Yarrowia lipolytica: one gene and its partners. The protein of the gene in region 2 interacts with the protein of the main gene of each other region in a pairwise test. Links are inferred from orthologs where the notes say so. Each region holds a gene or a part of one and is shown on either strand. Other genes may lie near its edges.

What was found. The genes of interacting proteins can lie anywhere in the genome.
Region 1: the proteins of YALI1_E20596g (region 2) and YALI1_F15708g interact in a two-hybrid assay, tested with the Schizosaccharomyces pombe proteins (2 studies listed by BioGRID, with this or other methods). The link is inferred for Yarrowia lipolytica from reciprocal best matches to the Schizosaccharomyces pombe genes sds23 and ekc1.
Region 3: the proteins of YALI1_E20596g (region 2) and YALI1_D15523g interact in a two-hybrid assay, tested with the Schizosaccharomyces pombe proteins (2 studies listed by BioGRID). The link is inferred for Yarrowia lipolytica from reciprocal best matches to the Schizosaccharomyces pombe genes sds23 and ufd2.

Annotation. Positions count from the first base shown.
Region 1 is NC_090775.1:1,569,221-1,573,953, forward strand, and holds YALI1_F15708g (uncharacterized protein), read left to right. Parts: upstream 1-1,651; coding exon 1,652-4,222; downstream 4,223-4,733. Other genes in the region: YALI1_F15692g (uncharacterized protein), read right to left, coding at 1-51; YALI1_F15695g (uncharacterized protein), read left to right, coding at 375-468, 559-1,016; YALI1_F15745g (uncharacterized protein), read right to left, coding at 4,495-4,733. UniProt on the Schizosaccharomyces pombe protein: Has a role in chromosome segregation. May provide a dynamic connection between kinetochore microtubules and kinetochore chromatin.
Region 2 is NC_090774.1:2,057,602-2,061,587, forward strand, and holds YALI1_E20596g (uncharacterized protein), read right to left. Parts: upstream 2,053-3,986; coding exon 535-2,052; downstream 1-534. Other genes in the region: YALI1_E20604g (uncharacterized protein), read right to left, coding at 2,659-2,830, 2,877-3,013; YALI1_E20626g (uncharacterized protein), read right to left, coding at 3,978-3,986.
Region 3 is NC_090773.1:1,550,416-1,556,075, forward strand, and holds YALI1_D15523g (uncharacterized protein), read left to right. Parts: upstream 1-1,898; coding exon 1,899-1,916; intron 1,917-1,972; coding exon 1,973-5,149; downstream 5,150-5,660. Other genes in the region: YALI1_D15506g (uncharacterized protein), read right to left, coding at 1-252; YALI1_D15557g (uncharacterized protein), read right to left, coding at 5,236-5,329, 5,373-5,482; YALI1_D15568g (uncharacterized protein), read right to left, coding at 5,515-5,660. UniProt on the Schizosaccharomyces pombe protein: E4 ubiquitin chain-elongation enzyme specifically involved in polyubiquitin chain assembly.

The DNA of each region.
Region 1 (4,733 bases), on a different chromosome or scaffold from region 2:
CTCGGAGGCCGTTTCCCAGGGCTTTTCCACCTTGTCTGCGGATTTGGCCATTGTTTTAAAGTGGCAATATGATGGTGCAGGAACGAGGTGCGTCGAGAAAAGTGGTGATGGAGGGGTGGTGCCAATTAGGTTGGAGCTAGATACCGAGGGGGAGACGAGGGAAATGTGACTGAAAGTGGGTCGTTAGAGATTGGAAAAGAATTGTGAAATGACAAGATTGATCGGAGGAATAAGGAGAATATATATAGGTTTTGAACGGCCCAAAAATCCCCACTTTGACACCATTTCCACTTTAACAGCAATACTAACCACCTTGCAATTTACCTAATAAATAAAATAATGATAAAATATCTGACATGTGACTGAACATTTAGATGTATCCAGACACATGGTGGAGGACGGAAAAAAAGACCACGGATCACGTGATACACGTAAACCCAGAGTGGCGTGCGGTTTTGGGCGAGTCACGTGACCGATAATCTCTTCCCCCCGCTACTTCCCCGCAGCTGCCCACTCTGGTGAGGTGAAGTGCTTGCACTCACTCATAAATGTAGCGAGTATTTCGGCGTCGTCGTCATGTGACCACGCACGTGATCTGGCATATATATGACGAGTCACGTGACATTGCACATTACGCCGTGCTCACCTCCTCCTCATCTTCTTTTGCTCATAACCTGACTCGTACTCACTCGATCCGGTATCTCATCACCTGCCTGCTTCTGACAATTTCCATCACCCTAACCCTGAACAAAAAAACCATTCGGGTGGTCACGGGACCAGCCGTGCTGAAAATACGTATACTTAGTAAGCAGATTTCATGGGCCTCATGGAGCGTTTTGGGGGAGGTTTATGGGGGTGTTTATGGCCGGTTAAAGACGGCTAAAGACGGCTTTTTTACGCCCAAAAAGGAAACTGTTGCCTCCTCTTTCTCCACTCGTGACCTCTGGACCCTCCACTCGGGCTGTATTTCGATTTGTCGTCTCACAATGGCCATTAGTCACAAGCTCTTTGGCTGAACTTTTACTGGTACAGTAAGCATGATGAGCAAGCAAGATGAAAAAAGGTGCAGCATTGAGGTGGGCGGGTCACGTGAGCTGGGAAAAAATGAGGGCGGCGAGAAGGGTAATTGTTGGGGACACAAAGTAATTGAGCTTACTAAGCGGTCCTCCGCCTGCAATGGGGTTATAGGTGTTCAGTTTTGTTTGTTGGTGGGAGCAAATGACCGTTTGATCAAAGCCAGTTGAGACTGTCGATTGGTTGAATCCAACGCAGCAGTGGGGAACAATTGAGAGTGGGAGCGGCGGGGGCACGAGAGGAGGAACACAGATGTTTATATAGATGGGTGGGAAGTGACACAGAGCGGTGGGGTCCGGAAAACCCGGCGCCAAAACCGGCAATGTCGCTCGTTTTTTTGTTGACCTGGACTCAACCATGCCTGTCAGTAAACACTCCTTGTATAGAGTACCTCGATATATGAGTGCGTGCCAAAATATACGCAGGGCAAATCAGGCAACCCTTTTTCCACACAACCTTAGTTTAGGCACAGTCACAAAGCTACGGTTCCAGGTACTTACTTGTTGTTGCACAAGAGAACCATCCGCCGTACCGCAAGACAAAGTACACACTCTACTCACACTCCATCCCCACAACCATGTCATTCTGGCGTATGGGATCCGGCTTTTCGTCGGTCAGTGTGATTGACAAGATTCTGGACAACCCAGACCACACGTTGCACGAGCTTCTGGAGGAGCCCGACCTGCTCCAGGAGGTGCTCAACTCCAACGCCAAGCTCACCGAGTATCTGCGACGAGACGATATTCTGGAGGAGCTGGTTCAGCTGGTCAAGGGGTCTCCGGAGAGCTCAAAAGAGGAGGGTCAGGGCGAAGGTGAGGGCGAGAACGAGGGCTTCGACGACAAGAAGCCCAATTCTGAGGAAGATAAGGACAAGAAGGACGACTGTGATAACGACAATGACGTGGAAATGGCAGATTCGGACGACAAGGAGCAACCTAAGGAGGAGGAGGAACCGAAGCAGGGAGAGCAAGCGACCGACGCAGCAGACCCCGACAAAGACGACGAGGACTCGGACACGTCGTTCGATTCCACATCGTCAGACCCCTCCAAGTACAAGCTCGAGGAGGAGGACCAGCAGCACTACGCGTCGGTGGCCTCTGAAATCCTGTCTGCCGAGGTCTGGTCACTGACAGAGGCGCTCATGGAGCGGGAGGAGCTGGTGCAGCAGATCTGGGAGATCCTGGACTACCCGGCCCCGCTGTCCATGAACCAGGCACAGTTCTTCACGAAAATCTCGGAGCATCTGCTGGACAAAAAAACAGACGATATGATTGCATTCATCAAGCGGCAGTCCAACTTTGTCGAGCGATTCATGCGCCACATTGACGACCCGCCACTCATGGACTTTCTGCTCAAGGTCATTTCCACCGACAAGGCCGACAACTCCACGGGCATCATCGACTTCCTGCAGAAACAGCGCCTGATCCCGTCGCTCATTGCCTTTCTAGGGCCCGACGTGCCGTCCTACATCCAGTCTGCCGCGGGCGACTTTGTCAAAGCGTTTGTAACCATGTCGGCCAACTCAAACTCGGACAACTCCACTATTGGCCCCAACGAGCTGTCTAGAGAGCTTGTTTCAGAGCCTGTCGTGCGCGAGTTTGTGCGACTCATGCTGTTTGGAGGCACCGGCCTTGCTACCGGCGTGGGCATCATCATTGAGATCATCCGAAAGAATAACTCCGATTATGACTACATGCCTGTGTTGTTCATTACCATGAAAACACACCCTCCGGGACCTCGAGACCCCATCTATCTCGGCACGCTGGTGCGCATCTTTTCGCAGCACATTCCCGAGTTCCAGGCCATGCTCACCCGTCCCAGCAATAAGACGCTCAAGACCCCCATTGGCGACATTGAGCCACTGGGCTTTGAGCGGTTTAAGATCTGCGAGCTGGTGGCAGAGTTGCTGCACTGTTCTAACATGACACTGCTCAATGATCCCAAGGGCGAGACCATTGTTGCCGAGCGAGATGCCGAGCGAGAGCGAGTCAAACAGGTCATCGCCAAGGCAAACGAGGACGGTGGCGACATTGACTTTGCCCGTCTTTCAGTGTCCAACGAGGACGAGGAGAACGAGGAGCAAAACGAGGAGGAAGAAGGCGAGGCTGCCAAGGCTGACGCCGAAGAGGCCAAGGCTGATTCAGCCGAAACCAAGGCCGAGTCCGAGGCAGTCGAAACCGAAGACAAGGACGACTCGCTGGAGGCAATCGAGGCAGCCCTGCGCAAGGACCCCGTGGTGGGCGATCTGCTGAAAATCTCACTGGTGGACAACGACGTCATTGTCACGATTCTCAACATGTTCATGAAGTTCCCTTGGAACAACTTTCTGCATAACGTGGTGTTTGACATTGTGCAGCAGATTCTCAACGGCCCCATGGGTGACGGCTTCAATCGGTTCCTGGCCATCAATCTGTTTGATAAGGGCCAGCTAACCCAGCTCATTGTGGACGGCCAGCAGCGGTGCGACGAGTACGAGACCGAGCACGGTACCCGAATCGGTTACATGGGCCACTTGACGCTCATTTCCGAGGAGGTGGTCAAGTTCACGGCGGTGTTTACCCCCGAGTCTATCTCTCCGGTGGTGGCTGCCGCCGTCACGGTCCCTGAGTGGATCATGTACGTGGCCCACACGCTGGTCAAGACCCGGGAACAACACAATGCTCTGCTTGGCGGAGCTCGGCCGGACCACAACTCTGTGGCGCACAATCCCGACGCCATTATTCTTGGCGACGGAGCTGGCAACGAGCTCGGTGAAGAGGAGGCAGAGGACGACGAGCGAGATGGCGGAGTGGTGGACGTCGACGAGGACGCCAAGGAGGACAACCCCGACCAGTTTTCGCGATACATGAGTCAGCAGATCACTGGCGACATGCCCGACCGGTTCGGCTCATCCGACGAGGACGATGAGGACGACGTCTGGGAGGAACGCAAGTTCTCCAACGATCTCAAACCGTTCCACACCTCGAACAAGAAGGAGTCTTCGGACGAGGACTCCGATGTGTCTGAGGGTGAACCAGAGGTTGAGATTGAGCAGGAGGTCGAGGTCGAGGGAGCTGACAAGGACGCAGCATTACGTTCGAGCAAGGAGGATAGCCAAAAGTCTGACGGAGACGCAAATGAGGAACCTGAGAAATCGGAGGATGCATAAATAATGATGTAATGAGATTGGAAGTTTTGACAGATCCGAGCTCAGGGAGGGTCTGTACATTGTAGAAGATCGATGACAGATCCGAGAACCGCGAGGGTCTGTACATTAGAAGACTGATGACGCAGCGATGGTCTGATATTAGAAGACCGAAGTATGCGTATGTACTATTGAATCAAGAGACGGAGAGAGATTCAAAACTCCGATCTCCCCAATCTCCTGCGCTGTTAGTCTAAAAACATTAATTATACACTACATGGGCCAAGCGACACGGTTCACTTACGTCGACGTCCTCCGACCTTGGTGGCGGCCTTGGGCTTGGGCCTTTCCCGCTCCTCCTTGGCCTCTTTTTCTTGCTGGATCTTGGCCTCCTCGGCCTTCTCGGCGGCAGACTTGGGCTTGACAAGATTGAAGAGAGCCACGGGCAGAGTGACCCACAGAGAGTCCTTGATGCCGGGCATCTCCACCCCCTGGGAAGAGATGGGGTGCTCAATGTTGTTGTCAGTGTCCACCA
Region 2 (3,986 bases):
AAGATAAAACTATCTTGAAATTTTGGATGAAAATAAAAATATAAAATATAAAATATAAAAATATAAAATATAAAATATAAAATAAAAATATAAAAAATAAAAAATCCTCACGATCTGAACCGCCGCCGTTACCCAATTAATGACAGGCCAAATATTCGAACGGGCTCAATCAGACTCAGACCGACCCAAACAAACACAATACAAGCTTCGAAGAAGCCAGAAGCGCCACTTTTTCCCACTTTTCCCCCACTTCGACATCCCTGTAGGACCCTGCTCTATCTAATGCACGGCTGACCAGCCTTGCTTTTAGCACCACGATACTATAATACAGGTACATCCAACTAACATGTACAAGTACGGCACAAGTACGGCACAAGTACGGCACAAGTACCAGTGGTTGTACTTGCACTCCAGCAAATATAATTCAATTTTATTAGCATAAATAGTGCTTGATTTCTTTGAGAAGGGAGCCTTCTTATACCATCCCCCCTTTTCTCCACCTATATACGTGATCACTCCAGATTCCGCCGTGGCCTATCTCTGACCCCGATCAATGGAAATGGACCGTCGGAACTGCTCGTAGGAAGATCGCGATCGCACGGACGAGGAGGAAGACCGTCGTCGGTTTCGACGGGCAAAATGGGGGTCCAGGTCCGAGTTGCCAGCATGTCGACCCAGCACATTGAGAATGTCGGTCAGCGACACCACTCCAATCAGCTTACCGTTGTGAGCAGCGTGGTGAGAGGGACCGTGGGTCTTGGAGGCCGGCTGACCAGAGGGGGTCGACGGCTGTGGAGAGGGCACATCGGGCTGCACGACCCACAGTCTGTGGGCGTTGGTGGCGACCATTTTGGCGATGGTTCGGCCGTATGACGTCTGCGGGGTCACGTGGAACACGGGGAAGGAGTCCTTGCCGTCCTCCAGGCCCCGGGCATTGAGAATGACTGACAGGAAGTGCGCGCAGGTGGCTTTGAGCAGATGTGACTGCGAGCTCTTGGACACAAGCCGCACGTCCACCACACTGATGTTACCCAACAGGTTGTTGGAGGCGTCGACGACGGCGAGAGAAGACACATTCTGGGCGTTCATCTTTCGCAGCGCCGCAATAACGTACTCATCGCCTCCAATGGTGAGCACATTGGGGTTGGGCTGGGCAAGACCCAGGTCTGTGAGGGGCGTCTGGAAGAGGGGCTCCAGCGTCTTGAACAACCGGCCGTTCTCCCAGATGTATCGCACGGTTCGTCGCTGGGACAGAATGCCAATGACAGCGTCGGAGGCGGGGCCCTCAGTGACGGCAAATCTGTGGACGCCAGAGCCGAGAATCTCTACGGCAGTGGCCAGAGTGGAGTCTCTAGGCACACAGATGAAGGGATCCTTGGCTCCCAGGCCAGCCACAAAGTTGACCGGCACGGGCTGGCCCGATCGCGCCTTCTTGACGTTTTCCAGTGCCTCGGGAGTGGTGTCTGCGGCGTCCACGTAGCCCATGACCAGCAGCAGGTAGGCGTTGAGGTCTGCGTAGTCGAAAGAGTGGGAGACGGACTTGTGTTCAGGGGCGGTTCGCACGGGCAACGAGGTGAAGTGGTTTTCGACGAGTTTATCGAACGCCTTTTCCACGGGCGTATCTCCCTCCACAAACACCAGCTTGTCGGGCTGCACCATGAGATCCAATCGGTCGTCTTCCCATCGGCGGTAGTGCTTTGCGTTGGAGTCGTCGTAAGCCGGGAACACAGGCGACATGGCGGCCTGGTTGTTGGAGGCTGCCGACGACGATCGGGACCGGGAGGGCGTCACTGCCGGTGGTGCCGTCACCAGCTCTGCAATGGACGACTCGCCCACGGTGGGGGAGGCTGGAATGGCAAAGTCGCGGTTGTTGGGGCGTTCCATCTGAGAAGCGTGACTGCCTTTTCGTGCGCGGGCAAAGGTGGCTTGAATGGACGAGTTGGACGGCGATAGAGCTGCCTGGGGCGATTGGGGGGAAGCCTGGGAAGGAGCAGGGACCGCCAAAGACGGGGTGGTGGGGGCCTTTTCCACTGAGGCGTTTTCTTTGTCCATTTTTTCGCTTGTCTGGGTGCAGTCTCTTGAGAATGTGTGTCCGAGACTCTCTGTTGTTGCACTTGTTGCACCGTGTTGCAGTTGCGTTACTGTAAGAAGTGTATGTGGTGCAATGTGCCGATGTACAGGATGTGAGTGAGTGAGTGCGGAAAAGCGGATGTTCAAGAGCACTATATACGATAGTTGGGACTTCCAAAGCGGGTCCCCTAACAAGGAGACAAGAGATTGCTGACTATTGCTGGCGGCCAGCGTCGCCTATTTGTGTCCAATTGAGGCCCTGGGCACCTCCCCAACTGCGAATCTAACCGACTACAGGACCGCTTCAGCTCAATCGCCACCCTTGCTTTTTTTTCCCCGTGCAGCACCGAGCCCTACCTCAGGTGAAATCTACAGTTGAAAAATGGCGCCATGCCAAGAGAGCGGGTGGAAAAGTGAACAAAAACCGGACACCTTCTGCTAAAAAAAGACGGATACTTAAGATCCCGACAGTCCCTAGCGGTTCCAAGAACTTGCCAAGTTACCACTTACCCTACAAAAGCTCCATCACCACGTCGCCCGATCCCCAGTCACCAATGGCACTATCGTATGCGCACCTTCGACAACCGTTCAGGGCAGCAAACTGATTAGGTTCCAACCCAACAGTGTTATCAAATGTACGACCTCAACGTCATGTGAGCATTGTAAGGAGGAGTGATGGCATAACATGTGATTTGTTGGAGGTGTTGGGTTATTTGCACGGTACACTACGAGCATTCCGGTGTATCGTACTCGCTCATGCCTATCTCCGTTGTGTCTCTTCCAACTACTTGTACCTCACCCATTACCCCAAACCCCATTGGATGACAGCAAGACAATGGACATGTCTGAGAGGAGAGAAAACAGGACGGATTTCGGGATGATGGCCGGATATTAATTGCTCGACGGCAGTGTGGATGCACCGAGCCGGCATTAAGCAGGCCATGTCTATGTCTATATTTCCGTGTCTTGGAGCTATTGTTGGTGGTCTATACTGTATTCCTATTTTTTAAACTTTTTTAAATTTTATATATATATTTTGTATTTTAATATTTTGATTTTATATTTCTACACCCTATAACTCTATATCTATATTCTATATTTTATATTTTAATATTTTATTAGCCTTGTCTAGCAGTTAACAGTACAGAACTTTTAACCAACTGGTTGAGGTTGTCCAGTAGAATGCCGAGATGAAAGTACTTCCTATTGTACCCACACTATCAGCTCCAACTGTTTATAAACCACATCAACACATGCTGCATCAATATCATATGTCCTCTCCTCCACGATTCCGAGCCCCGTTGCCCGATCTGAACGTTGTCATCATCAACACCTTCTCTACTGTATGCGTATCACTTCGCATTCTCGACACAGCCCCTCAGGTCACAAGACCAGCTTGTAACTTGCTCCCTGAAAATCAACCTTGACTGAAAACAACTTTGAGTGATTACTGTTTGGCTGCTGAACTTTCCCTTTTGGTCCTGCGAGCAAAAAGCTGGGATTTCGCTCCAAAAACGTGTTTCGACCGCTTTTCTAAGCGCCTTTTCAGCCCCTTATTACCCCAATATTTGACTAACCTCAAAAACCCGCACTCTACAATGTAGATTGCTCATGCACTTCCTGCAACGTTTACATTCCAATGCCACCGCAACAACGGTATTTCGGAGATTGCGGAGATAGTCGTATTAGTCGTATAGCTTGAAAGTTTGTCCACCTCACTTGAATCAATAGCTCTCGTGCGTGTACCGTGCCGTACAGTCCTATATACAGTCCTCATACTCGTACTACTCGTTCTGTAATGCACTCGATGCTTGTTTATATACTGTACCGTTATGTTATCTGTTTAGTTTAGTCGTTTAGTGGCTCGGGAGCCGTGATGCTATGCTCGTGAAATAGTGTATCGTAGTCTACTCAAG
Region 3 (5,660 bases), on a different chromosome or scaffold from region 2:
AACGACGACGTGGTCCAGGCCGTAGTACTCGGCGATGCGGTGAGTGAGCAGCCGGTTGAACGAGTTCATCGAGTCGAGGGTCAGGGACGGCGGCTTGTGTTGCTGTTGTTGGGCCACGGGCGCCGTGGGGGGCAGCAGCGAGGCATTTTTCTGTGCATCGAGGAATTGTTGCAGCTGCTTCTCGATTTTAAGTACCAACAGACGCGATTGCGGCGTGGCGAGAGCCCGTTTGAGCGCGTCGTCGAGGGGCATTTTTTGTTGGTGATGAAAGTGAAAATTAGAATTGGGTGTAGCTCAGGTATCCCCAAAGCTTATGTGTGGGGTGAGAGAAACAAACCGGGAACTGTAGGTGTCGTAGCCAAGTGCAAGTTCCACACGGCCATAGAGGAGTCGGGAGGCTGGATGGCTGGCGGGCGTGGTTTTTTAGTAGTGGATTCGTCCAAGATACAATTGACTGGTCGTTTGCGCTGGACTGGCCTGTCACGTGTCGGGGAAATCGGTATTTTTCAATGTTGTTTTCTGATGAGTAGTCAGTAAGAATGAGAGAGAAGACAGAGAATGGCGGCACAAATACGATAGAGAAAGAAGAGCTCAAAGGATACGGCACTGACCGGAAATGAAAAGCGAAAGAGTGGACCCACAAGTAGCCGATTACACAAGCAGATATCTGACTCCAATGAGCTCAATCTCACACGGTTTTTGGTCTGATTGACCAGTCGTAACCGTCAACGTTAAAGTTCATGCCACGACATGATGTTGAGTTTGCCATGTCTGACTCTGGAAGGGTGTCGGTCGTAGTGAGAAGGCAGTCAGAAAGCGAGGTTGCGAGGTTGTGAGGTTGGGCGCGGGCTGTCAAGACCACATATATAGAGAGAAGGATGGATTCAAAGTTACATGGACACTGTAGCATCGAACGCTCCTCAACACAAACGCATACTCTACATAACAGCAGGGGACGCGGACTAATAATTATGATCCGTGTATACGTCAGATACAGTACATACGAGGACAATCTATGTGGACGACAGACTATAAGTACAGTACATACTGTACATACTTGTATCAGTACAAGTCATTGGGAGAACAATATATACAGGATGATTCTATAAGAACTACATGTAGTGTTGCACCACAAGAGCGTAGAAGTTACGACATGTTGAAAAATGTTCCGGATCTAAAATCAATTATCGAGTCCCACACTCAGGGTATACGTTATAGATTGTTTTTTTGCAAAACTATTATATTCTCCAAGTACAGTATATACATTAGGGAGGCGGCCTGCTGCTGCTGTTCTTACCACTGAGTCCCTGTGCATAGAGTTAAGGTCCCGGATAAGCTGGTTTGGTGAAATATTGAGGACCCTTGCATTCATGTGCGAGAATCTATTGTATTATATTTATTGTATGTACTGTACAGCCGATACGAGTGGACCACGAGCTGGCTATTTTACTGTATGTGCATTCTGGGCACCCATAGCGTAGAGTACCGGTATTTCTTCAGCTCATAGCAAGGCTTTCCGCCAAGGGCTTTCTCAGTTCCATCAAGGTTGTAAATTAGTACAGAAAGTACTTGAGAAGTGCCAATAACTACTTAGTTCTTACAGTAGTAGTACACTCGTGGTACTTCGGCCTGATGAGAAGAAGCTCGTACGAAATCGGTAAACACGGTGGCAAAAAAACGACCGAAAAACATAGGTGCGTTCAATTGAAGGTGACACCAGTGTACTAAATCGCTCGAGTTAGGCCCCGTGGAGCTTCTATTCGCTGCTGTCTCTAACTCCACAGTATTCGTGCTTGGAGATTACCTAATATCGCACGCCAGACATGTCCCAACTGCACCCTACAGTACTAACTTTCAGATTGAGACAAGTGTGGCAATTCATCATCTGGATCAACACCATGTCATCAGCAGAAGAAGTGAGTGAAAAAGAAATGGAGAACGATGAACCGAAAGTACAGCCGTGCTAACACAGATTCGTCTCAAGCGTCTAGCTCGTCTAGGAGGAGGAGCTTCCAGTCCCTCTCCTGGTCCTTCCGAGTCCAGGAAGGCAGAGGGGACACCTAAGGAGGAGGTGAAGAAGGAGGTGAAGGAGGTGAAGGAAGTGAAGAAGGATGAGCCCAAAAGCACACCTGCGATCAAACCCAAGATCAAGATTGTGCCCAAGGCCGCTGCTTCTGCCGCCACAGGCACATCGACCCCAAAATCCGCTGCACCACGACCAGCTCCAGCTCCCTCGGCTTCGCTGACCGTGCCGTTCCAGCAGTACGAGCAGGACGCAATTGAAAGCATTCTGCGAATCACAGTGCGAGACAAGCAGCGATGCACGCAACTTGCATCGGTCAAGGAGGAACTGGAGTCGGAAAACAAGCCCGTGGCGCTCTCCAGAGACAATCTCGAAGATGCGCTCTTCAGCCACCTCACAGGATCCAAGGCAGTCTTCAACTATCTCATGGAGAGCTTTCTGCGGGCCAAGAAAGACTTGGCAGTGCTCAACAAGGCTGGCACGGACGCTGTCGATGTAGAGCCCAAGAAAGAGCTGGTCAGAAATATTATGGAAATGACCACCCGATATGGACTGCTGTTTGTGTCTGTTCCAGACATGTACGAGCAGGCCCAAGGCATTATGGAGGTGCTGAAACTGTCACAGAACGGCTCATTGTCGTGGGAGTTCGTGGACGAGATCTTCTCACGTGCCCAGACCGACGGAGACATGGGCTCTGTTGCGGGCAAGATTCTGCAGGACGTCAACGGGCTGATTCTCAGCGCCAATCAGGACGCCTCCCAGTCGGCCACCGCTGCTCTCTACTTTGTGTCGCACCTGTTCAGCAACAAGCTGTTTGCTTCTGCTGTGCCCGAAATTGAAGGCTTTGTCGAAAGTGGCACCAACGACGAAAAACCCGCAGACATTGAGAAGAACCCCCATGGTCTCGGCCCCGTTTTTGCCATTTCTCCTTTGCATGGTTCTACCGCTCTCACCTTCTTCCCCATCGGTACTCCTGAGCAAATGATGGATCCCCGTGGCAACGCCGCCAACGGAGTGCGAGCCGAGTCGCGAATCGTGCAGGACCAGCTGTTCCAGATTGTCGACAAGATTGTGCGGGCGTCTCCACAGGCACGAGACTGTATTCTGCAGTACTTTGGCCGCGTGCTCAAGTGCAACCACAGAAGACGAGCCACTCGACTGCAAGAAGGCACCACATCTTCTGACGGCTTTCTGCTCAACATATTTTTTGTGTTGCTCAAACTGGCAGACCCGTTTGTCGATAACGCCTGTTCCAAGATTGACAAGATTGACATTGACTACTACAGCCGAACCAAAAACGCGGTAATTGACATTTCCGAGGAGACCAAGATCCACGCCGACTCCACCGAGGCCGCAGAGTACTACGGAGACGAAAAGAATGCCGATAAGAAAGACCTGGCTCCTAACTTCATTTCCCATGTGTTTTTCCTCACCGCCGGATACCTATACTACGGTTTTGGAGGTGCCCAGCAGCAGGTGACACGTCTCAAGGAGCACCATGACCAGGTTAGAGACTACCTTGACAACTCGCGGATCCAGTATGCCAATGTTCCCGAGGCTCAACGGGGAGCAGTGAACATGCAGCTACAGAAGGTGGAGAAGATGGTGGGTTCTTTGGCGGCCCAGCGAGCAGCCATTCTGGCCGTCATCTCCGAGCAGGACGTGTGTGTCCAGGTGCTGCAGTTTGCTATTTTCCAAATGCATTATCTCATCCGAGTTCTGGACCCCTCTCACACTTATCCCCTGGGTGGCGAAGTTACTCTGCCCCTGTACACTGGAGAGAACACGGGACCTATTGCTTACCTCCCCGAGTACCTAATCGAGGGTCCTGTTGGCATTGTAAACGTCATGTGTCGTCACAACACCATTCTGGCCATGTTGTCTCCCTTGGTGGACGTTTCTGCTCTCGTCACCTTTGGAGTGGTCTTTCTGCGACACTCGGACGTGATCAAGAACCCACATCAGAAGAGCAAGATTGTAGAGATGTTGTTTTGCGGCACCCAGCCCATCTACAACCAGAATGATGGCTTCTTGGTGTCTACATTCAACTCGCAGAAACTGGCACTGGAGTCGCTTATGCATTCGCTCATGAACATCTATATCGAGTTTGAGCAGACTGGAGCACATACTCAGTTCTACGACAAGTTTAACATTCGGTACTATGTGTCGCAGATCATCGAGTCTATCTGGAACAATGTCAACTATCAGAAGCGGCTGGAAAAGGAATCCCATGACAACATTGACTTCTTTGTGCGGTTTGTGGCGCTGCTGCTCAACGATGTCACCTATCTCATGGATGAGTCGGTCAGCAGTCTCACGGAGATTCGGCAGATTGAGGCGGAACTGGCTGCCATGACCGAGGAAGAGAAGAACTCCACTCACGCCCAGGAGCTGCAGAAGAAGTTCAAGACAGCCGAGCGCAACATCAAGGGGTGGATGCCTCTCACCAACAAGAACATGAAGCTTCTTGATTTGTTCACCCAGGCTGTCCCCAAGTCGTTTGTATCGCCCGAAATCGTCGACCGACTAGCTGCCATGATGAACCACAACCTCAAGGCGCTGGTTGGCCCTCGATGTCGTGATCTCAAGGTCAAAAACATGCTAAAGTACGGCTTCGACCCCAAGGATCTGCTGGTCAAGCTTTCCAAGGCTTACTACAACCTGCACAAGCAGGACGCGTTTATCCAGGCTGTGGCTCGAGACGGCCGATCGTTTGACCCGGCAAACTTCACACGTGCTATTGAGCTCATCTCGCGTTTCAACCTTATGCCTAGAGAGTACCTGGATCAGATTGTGGCACTTCGAGACAAAGCCTCGGAGGTGGCTGCTCAGGACGAGGAGGACGAGCAGGACCTGGGAGATATCCCCGACGAGTACCTGGATCCTCTCATGTACACACTGATGACCAACCCTGTGATCCTGCCGTCGTCCAAGATCAATATTGACCTGGCTACCATCAAGTCGCATCTTCTGTCCGATCCCAAGGACCCCTTCAACCGAGCGCCTCTCAAGCTGGAGGACGTACTGCCCAACGACGAGCTGAAGTTGGAGATTGAAACCTGGGTCGAGGAGAAGCGAAGTGCAGCCAAGACCAAGGATGCCGATGGGGATGTTGATATGAGCTGAAGAGGTTGGCTCATGTAATGTGGAAGGGTGTTGGAGTAGATGTAACGACTTGGAAGTTTGTAGCTATGAGTAAGAACGTATAATAATCAAATGAACTGGTTGTGCGTAACCGAATGACGAAGTCGTATGTGCACAACAATTGCCAGCTGCGGATAAAATGTGCAGCAGCTAACGAAAGAACTGGTCTCGGTCAAAGCTGATGAATGGTCGTATGAGAGTCGACTGTGAATAGTGATCGGTCACAATCACCTGTATGTGTGGTAAACCTTTGAGCGGGAGAGTTACTTGAGGAACTCCCGCACCTTTTCGGCGGCTACCACCTAACAATACCATCGTCTAATTATCTATACCAGTATCTAACATGTCTATTTCTGCTCCCGCTTCTTGATCTCCTTGTCAATGTTGTAGACGACCTGTCGTCGGGCCCGTTTGAGTTCTGCCGCGAGATCAGGAAGCTGTACCGTCTCCACGATATGGTCAATGCTGGTGTTGTCCACGAGCAGAGAGTTCT